Linked DNA regions of Sus scrofa. Each later gene encodes a partner of the first gene's protein in a complex. Links are inferred from orthologs where the notes say so. Each region holds a gene or a part of one and is shown on either strand. Other genes may lie near its edges.

Region 1 (3,805 bases):
CAACAAACTGGCTTCCAGTTTCAGTTCCAGGACCTTCTTGGACAAGTTATGAAACTGTTCCAGGCCTCACCCTTATCTCTGTAAAATAACTTCTCTGCCAAAATTCATTACCAAATGAGAATGTGGACATAAAAGAACTTTAAAAGGATATGAGAGGGCTTATAAAGAGGTGTTATTCTTGTTACCATCAATTCTGACTACTGTGAAATAGTATTAAAAAAACTGTATGGGAGTTCCTGTGGCACAAAAGGATCGACAGTGTCCCTGTAGTAGCGGGGACACAGGTTTAATCCCCAGCCTGGCATAATGAGTTAAGGATATGGTGTTGCAGCAACTGGAGCGTACGTAGCAGCTCCAGCTGGGATTTAATCCTTGGCCCGGGAACTCTATATGCAATGGGGTGGCCAAAAAACAAACAAACAAAAAAACACGAAAAAGAACCAAAAACGGTGGAATATGGAAATAGAAAGCTATTTCACCATCTGTTTCTGTCTGTTTTGGCTAAGATGATCTGAATCAAGATCCTGCTAAGAGAATCAAGAAGAAAATGGTACCTACAGGTCTGTAATGTATTTACTCTCCCTCCTTTTTTTTCTTTCTTTCTTTCTTTTTTTTGCTTTTCAGGGCTGCACCTCGGCATATGGAAGTTCCCAGACTAGTGGTCAAATCGGAGCTACAGCTGCCGGCCTATACCACAGCTACAGCAACACCAGACCCAAGCCGTGTCTGTGACCTACACCACAGCTCACAGAAACACCAGATCCTTAACCCACTGAGCAAGGCCAGAGATCGAACCTGCAACCTCATGGTTACTAGCTGGATTCATTTCCGCTGCACCACAATGGGAACTCTTCTCCCTCCTTTTTCTGACATCCGTCCACAAGGCTCACAATTCATTTGGGGTGCACTATCAATTTTCTTCCCTTGTCCGTGTTTAAAGTCAGTTCCCCCCCAGATGATTTATGCCCCGATACATGGACTATTATAAGTCCCACAGAGCTGTCACTTGGCAGCCAGAGGAGGGGCTTACCCACAATGCTATCGACCTGAGCGTCTGCTGTGTTAGATGCGCCACCTCGATGATCCAAGAGAGCTTCAGTCCTCTCTGCTGCTGGCAAACAGGGCTGCTGTTGAGGAAAACACACGCAAGCAACAATTTAAGAAGCTGCTTCAGAACTAAATCCAAAAAGGCTCACACTTCCACCCACTGGTTAGCTTTAGAGAAGTAGAAATAGGAACTAGAGACCAGGAGAGATGAAACAAGGATCAAGGTCACATTAAGAAAGGCTAAAAGACCACTAACTCAGGAGTGTTTTTCCTCAAGGAAAAATTAGCAAGTGTTGTGATTTTGCTATTGACTATTAAAACATACTGTTTTGTTTTAAGATCATGCTTTTTTTTCAAAATCTGAAAATGTGTAAGATCCTATCACAAAGACCTCAGAGACTGAGGAAGAAGGTCCTGGAAAGACAACATGGCACTGCCGAACGTGCTCATGGCTTCTACCTGCCGACCACAGCCGTCCTGGACCACAGTCCTTGAGGACAGAGGGTTGAAATCAGCTTATTAAACTCATTAAGGGCAGGTACCTTGCTTCAGGTTGTAGAGTACACAGGAAGTACTTAAAAAGAACCATTAATTTTATTTTATATTTAAAGATCTAGAGGCAACTTTATGCCTCAAGGAAATCCTGGCATATTTTTAAAAGCACTTTAGCAAAAACACATGCAACAGCACAAATTGCAAACATCTTGAAAGGGCTTACTGCTTTAATGCCTAAATAGCCTTTTCTCAATAGGTGGCAGGCATAAAAAGGGCTATTTTAGATTAGCCTTCTATCTATTTCTAATATTCTCAGTCACTTCTTAAATGGAAAGGGAAGAAATGATAAATGGTGTAAAGATTCACAATGATGAGTAGAAATTAAAGCCAAAGCAAAGAAAAGATCCAGGAAAAAAATCTCTACCTCTGAATGGCAGGTGTCTGCTGATCCAATGTTATGGTTTGCTCCAGCCAATGAGCTAAGAAGGCTAAAGCCTTGGTTCTTCTCTGAAAAGAAAAAAATACAATCACTGAAATTTTTTATTTACATTTTAAATTGTTAAAATGACTGTGACAATAACATAATAGTTAATAATAAAATTTCTAACTATAAAAAATAGTTATCATCATTTACCATACTCTCCAAATTCTGGGTAAATTTTAAATCACAGAGTATCAGTCCAGGTCAAGTAGATGGCAAGGCCATTACAACAAAGAAAAGGTTGCTCAGTGGTTCTGTTTGCAAAGATTAACAGAGCTGGTGTTCTGACAGTCATTATGAACTAATATTGCAGTGTTTTAAACAATTAAAATTAAAAAGAATCAAATACCAAGGTATTATTATCAGGTAAAAATGAACATTCATGTTTTTTTGAAATAAAGCTCTACTCGTGCAGTTATGGTTCCCAATGCTCTCGCTATTTGTATTTACAAAGGAGGACAAATCTAGAGCAAAATGTCAGAACCCAGCCCTGATTTGGTAGGGTTCCCCAAGAGTCACCTGGACAGTGACTACCCCAGTATTGAATATTGACCCTGCTTTGGACTGAGTTAGAATTTCTGTCTAAACAGAGACCAAGGAGTCTGAACTTTTAGCAAGTACTCCAGGAGAGTCCTTAGGATCAAGAAAATTGGAAAAACAAAAAACCAGTGCGCCTGAGAGTAGAAAGTGAAACCTACATCACTCAAGAGTCTAACAGTATAGAGGTCAAAGAACTCCTCTCTCAAAAAGGCTTCTTCCCACCTCACTTTCCTCTCCCTATCACTTCCCTGACTCCATTCTCACCCATCTCTCAACAACCTCCAAACTTCCTAGTCCTCGCCTCTGGTGGGTGAAACCTGTTGACAGAACCCCACAGAAAGAAAACCACTTGCAGGCCCCTCACTCCCATTTTAACTTGGGGAGATTTGCCTTTAAATCAGGATGAAGCCCAACTGTAGCATCGGGGAGGTCCAGGCCTGAGCTTTTTCCATCTCCTGTTACCATCTCCTCATGTAGTACACTTGGCCTACTTGTACAGAGGTACTAACCTGGTCGGTACCTGTGCTTGAAGGCTAGGGGGGCGCTGGGCAGTACCCAGGGTCTCTGCTGCTCTCTGCGCTTCCTGCTCCACAACCTCAACAGTGGCAGTGGGGTGAAAGGTGTGCACGTACTCCTGGAGTCCCCTTTCTTTTTTTTTTTTTTTTTTTTTTTTTTTTTGTCTTTTTGTCTGTTGTTGTTGTTGCTGCTGCTATTTCTTGGGCTGCTCCCGCGGCATATGGAGGTTCCCAGGCTAGGGGCTGAATTGGAGCCGTAGCCACCGGCCTACGCCAGAGCCACAGCAACGCAGGATCCGAGCCGCGTCTGCAACCTACACCACAGCTCACGGCAACGCCGGATCGTTAACCCACTGAGCGAGGGCAGGGACCGAACCCGCAACCTCATGGTTCCTAGTCGGATTCGTTAACCACTGCACCACGACGGGAACTCCTGGAGTCCCCTTTCTCAGCAACCTGCCCACCCATGAGGAACTCTGCAGGCCCAAGACCTGGGGGAGCCCCATCCCAGGACCAGGCTTCAGTGAGGCAGACTGGGGAGACTCAGAGGCTGAGACAAGTGTCCCACACTGAGGGTTTCACAGAGCCTGGGGGTGTTCATTCAAACACTGACATAATCTTTTCTTGTGGCCAATGTGCTATAGGCTTTAAAGCAGTTGTATGCAGTTATACAGTATTCTGGGATTTTACATGTCAGGAGGATACATGAGAGTTCTTATAAAATACT
Region 2 (4,542 bases), on another chromosome or scaffold:
TGTCCAGTTTTCAAAGGAAAAGGAGTTTTCTAAGAACATAAGGCCTCCGACCACAAGTTTCCCCATGACGAGGTGAATTCCTGAACGCTGCAGAAGAGATTACTGGAGATGTTGATTACTTAAGACATGAACAGCAAGGCATTCAAGAACAGCGGGGTCAGGCTTCAATCAAACGTGTGCTGCCCTGGAGGAAGGGTAAGAGCTGGTTTTGAAGCTGGTGTCTCCTTTGCTTCTTTTATTTTTTTTTTAAAACTTGTAGCTTGACTCTTCTCAATTTCTAGAAAGCTGATATTTTGGTTTAGACTATCATCATTTTTGCTTTATCATCATGTTCTGTTTGTAACTCCAACCCTCCCTCTCCCCCCGCTTGGACTCCATGGTGGCTTTTTCTGTATTCGCGGTATCTTCCGTTACTACACAGTTATGGAGTGATTTGAGAAGTGAAACTCAAATCAAGTTGACACAACACCAGGGCTTTGTGTTGCGAGTAGATGTCCACGCCCAGAATCACACACATCAGCTCAGAGATGGCTTTGATCTGAACCATGTCACATACCACACCAGGCTCCCTGACTTAGGCTTATGACAGCAGATTTGCAAACCAAAGGCCCCTTCAGGATTGGACCATCTTCCCAGTGGAGCATTTTGATTTACAGGGCCCCTGGGTCCTAGAGTTCTCTTGACAGATGCCACCACCCCAGGTGGAAGCTATCAGGAGGTTGTTAGGTTTGCCGAGGGAGGATCGCTCAAGGCCAAGTTAGCAGAACAAAGGGGATTTATTAAGGCATCAGAGGAGCACAGGCTGAGCTCAAAATAGCACCAGCTCTGACCATAAAGAGATGTGGATATTTTCCGCAGGCCACTGTTTCTTGCTGCCCAACTTGAACCTCCACATTCCGGGAGAGGGTGTCCACAGCAGGTCTCCAGGGTGAACAGCCACCTCTGAGGGTTGGGGGGGGGGTCCTGTCCGATCCCCCTGGGAACCTATCAAAGGCCTGCGGCATTGAAAAATCCAGGACCAGGAGGCACTTGAGCTTACTGAGAATTTGCAGGACGAAGGCTGCAGTTGTCTTGGGGGCTTTTAGTGCACAGGTTGCCTTAAGGCAGGGAAGACCCATTGCCTCCTGCCCACCCTCTGACCTCCTCTAATTTAACTCCAGCCCCAGAGGCCCTCTTTGGGGTCTTTTGAGAAGGATGACTCTTTTTTTTTCCCCCTTCAGAGCACTCACCTCCACATCTCATGTCACCTCCTCAGGGACCAGCCCTCCCTGACGCCCCCGCTAAATAAATGCAGCTTCTGCTGTGCAGGTTCTAGCAACCTGTAGGCATTTTCGTGGTAATCTTCTCACCTACTTAGCACTCGTTACTTTGTAATTATTTATTTTGGTTATTATTCGCTGAGCCACGAGAAACTATAAGCTTCAGAAGAGAGCAGCTTGTTTGTTCCCAGCTGGACCCCTGCGCTCCTTCTGAAGGGCTGGGCACAGAGAAAGCGCTGATGAATGTGGCATCATCGAACGGGTGGATGCCCCCGCCCCCTGCGCCGCGCAGAAGGCACATCCTGAGAAGGACTTTCACCAATTTTGGTTCCAGAAACTCAGGCAAAGTTTCTTAACCTTTTTGGGGTCACACATGTCTTTAGGTAGTTGATAAAACCAACCGACTCTCCCAAACGAACATAAAATGCACTCCAAGCTCTGCTTACAATTTGGGGGTTTGGAAACTCCTAAGGCCCCAGGTGGAAACTCCAATCTTAAGAAAATCCAAGGGGAGGAGTAAGATTAGATACTGGACGCTACAGTTTTAGGAGATACCTCTTAAAACCCGGCCTATCTGAAATGACCCACATCCTTGTACTGCAGCCATATGTGTATTATACATACACGTGAGAAGAAAGAAATCGGAGGCAAGAAATCGCTTCTAATTCTAGCTCCGCCAAAGGCTCCCTCCCTTACGCGGTTTAGGACTACAAAACCAGTGACCCTTCCCGAACGCGTCTCCGGAAATCTCTTCGCTAGGTCTGCTAATGAATGACACACTCGCTCGGCAGAATCAGGAAAGCAGCCCCGCTCCGGTTTCCCCGCGCAGATCTGCTCTGCGGGGTCCACCAACGCCGGGCAGGGCAGGCCAGGTTGCAGAGGCGCGCGCAGGTATATTCGCACCTAAGGCAGCAAGGACAGCGCGGGGCGGGGCCCGATGCGGGCGCCGGGCGGGCGCGGGGCGGGAGGAGGGGGAAGAACGCGAAGCACAGTGGGAGGAGGGAGAAAGGGGGAGGAGGGAGAGAGGGGAGGGGGAGGAGGGAGGAGAGAGTCGGAGAGGGGAGAAGGGGGAGGAGAAAAGGGGAAGATGGAGACAAGGAAGAGGAGAAGGAGGAAGAGGAGAGGAGGAGGGGAAGGAGGGAGGTGGGAGGAGGGAGCGGGTAGGGAGGGAGATGGGAGGGGCAGGAGGGGAGGGAGGGTAGCGGCGCAGGGAGGAGTCTGCAAACTTTCACTTCGAGGGCATTGTGGGAAGCAGCCATGGTCTGAGGCGGGCACCGCACCTGTCAGCCGCGCCGGCTCCAGCGCTCGCTTCTCCTCCTCGCGTCCACCGCGCTCGCCTCTCACCCGCCGGGGATACCGGCGGCCGGGCCACCATGGTGAGTCCGGGTGAGCAGGGCGGTGGCGCCGACCCGGGGCGGGGACAGCCTGTGTGCGCGTTCCCGGGAGGCACCTGCTGCGCCGGGCCGGGCGCGCGGTCGGGTGGGGTAGTAATCCCATCCCGCCCCACCACCCCCCAACCCGTCCCACGGCCGGCGGCACGCCCAGTGGTCCCGGCGTGGCGGCCGGATGGTGCGGATGCGCCCGGGGCACCGTGGACGCCAGGTCGAGACTCTGGGCGCCGCTGCTTCATTCATTCGACGGGTTTGCTGAGCGCTTATTCTGTGCCAGGCACGGTGCCAGGCTCTGGAGGTGTCTCGGGGGACCAAGTGGAGCCCTTGCTTTTAGGGGCTTACCTTCTAGGAGGAGGATGTGGAAGGGGGAGATGAGGAATATATCAGTAAAATTAGGATAAGTTCTGAGAGTAAGTGTTCTGAAGTCTCCAGTGGAACCGTGTGGAGAGATCGAGATGGAACTCTACAGAGGGCATGCAGAGAAGGCCTCTTCCAGAAGGTGACATCTGAGCTATTGGAGATCCTAGGGGAGCAGGGCAGGTAGTGGGAGCAGAGAGAGCAAAGGCCAGAGAGGAGGAACCCCTGCTTGTAGCGAGAAAGATGGGCAGGGGCCAGATGAGGTAGGTCCTTATAAACCAAATTAAGGAGCGTGAATTTTATTCCAACTGAGTGGTGGAGCTTTGAGAGTGTTTTAAGCAAGAGAACTGACTTTATCCCTTCTACGCTTTTGAAAGATCGCTTTGGCTGTTTGTAGAGAGTAGGCTGGGGTATGTGTGAGCGGAGGATGTCAAAGTGGAGACAGGGAGACCAGTTTGCAGTGCTTCTGGTGAGAGATGCTGGTTGCCTGCACTTGCATTGAAGCAGTAGCTTTAGGCGCCTCTTGTTCTTGCTTTCTGTTTAGGGTGGTGTTTTGAGAGTGCAGTGGCCTGAACTGCCCCAGTTCACTTCCCCAGGTGAGCTCACTTCTCCAATTGAGGTGGGACAAAAGTGACCTGCATTCTCAACTTGAGTACCGGCCACAGGCAGGAGCAGGAGGACCATGTGGGTTAAGAAAGTTGATGGACAAGGAGAGCAGTGGAGTGCTGAGCCTCTGAATGGGAAGACCATAGACACTAGTTCCTAGGAAAGGTTTGGCTGCACAGACTGGACTCGCCATTGTTGTTTGTGGAGGATTGCTTGTAAATACAGCGTGATGCAAAAAGGAGGCTGTAAATAATGGAGCAGTTCTCTTGGCTTGCTCAGGTTTCCCAAGGGACAAGGCGACATGTGTGCAGCCCGCCGTATCATTTGCCTAATAGAGGGTGGAATAAGGCCCTGGAGTTTCTGAGTAGCAAAAAACTTCCATCCTGAGAGCCCGTGCAGACTCTATGCTCTGGACAACACCTTCGAGTTTTATTTTTTCTTGCTGGTGTCAAATAATTAGTTGATGAGAAATGTGCCGTGCTTCCCTAACTTCTTTACTAGAACTTACCCACCGGGAAATATTGATGTTACCTACTGAAGGCTTGTGATAACCAAGCAGGACACTCAGCTCTTTACCTTCATGATCTCAGTCAGTCCTTGTAACAAACAACCAAAAGAGGGTATTATGCTCTTTCACTTCGCCTGCTCTGACCTGTCCCAGCAATGTGTCCTTGGATCGCGCCTTGACCTCTCTGTGCCGCTTTGCTCATTTGTGAAATGGAGATTATAATTGTGGTCTGGGTACCCTTAGGAGTCCCCAAGAGTTTTCAGAGGTCCACAAGGTCAAAACTGTTTTCATAATAGCTCAAAGATATTATTTGCCTTTTTTTTTTTTTTTAGGGCTGTACCCATGGCACAGGGAGGTTCCCAGGCTAGGGGTCAAATCGGAGCTGTAGCTGCCAGCGTAAACCACAGCCACAGCAACGTGG

What was found.
Region 2: the proteins of AAGAB (region 1) and AP1S3 are in contact, whole or in part, in a crystal structure (PDB 9DDT), measured with the Homo sapiens proteins. The link is inferred for Sus scrofa from reciprocal best matches to the Homo sapiens genes AAGAB and AP1S3. Residues at the interface, in NP_078942.3 of Homo sapiens: Asn51, Lys52, Tyr53, Tyr54, Glu108, Val109, Met110, Ile111, Gln128, Ile132, Gly135, Phe136, Glu137, Asp151, Phe153, Pro154, Glu155, Arg161, Gln164, Ala165, Asn167, Ala168, Asn169, Val170, Met176; in NP_001034658.1 of Homo sapiens: Arg10, Gln11, Lys13, Arg15, Gln37, Leu40, Ser41, Arg61, Tyr62, Ala63, Ser64, His85, Val88, Asp92, Phe95, Val98, Glu100, Leu101, Asp102, Ile104, Phe105, Asn106.

Annotation. Positions count from the first base shown.
Region 1 is NC_010443.5:165,137,280-165,141,084, forward strand, and holds part of AAGAB (alpha- and gamma-adaptin-binding protein p34), read right to left. Parts: intron 2,050-3,805; coding exon 1,967-2,049; intron 1,128-1,966; coding exon 1,031-1,127; intron 1-1,030. UniProt on the Homo sapiens protein: May be involved in endocytic recycling of growth factor receptors such as EGFR.
Region 2 is NC_010457.5:125,634,395-125,638,936, reverse strand, and holds the start of AP1S3 (AP-1 complex subunit sigma-3), read left to right. Parts: upstream 1-1,721; 5' UTR 1,722-2,030; coding exon 2,031-2,150; intron 2,151-2,464; exon of another isoform or gene 2,465-2,632; coding exon of another isoform or gene 2,633-2,635; intron 2,636-4,542. UniProt on the Homo sapiens protein: Subunit of clathrin-associated adaptor protein complex 1 that plays a role in protein sorting in the late-Golgi/trans-Golgi network (TGN) and/or endosomes.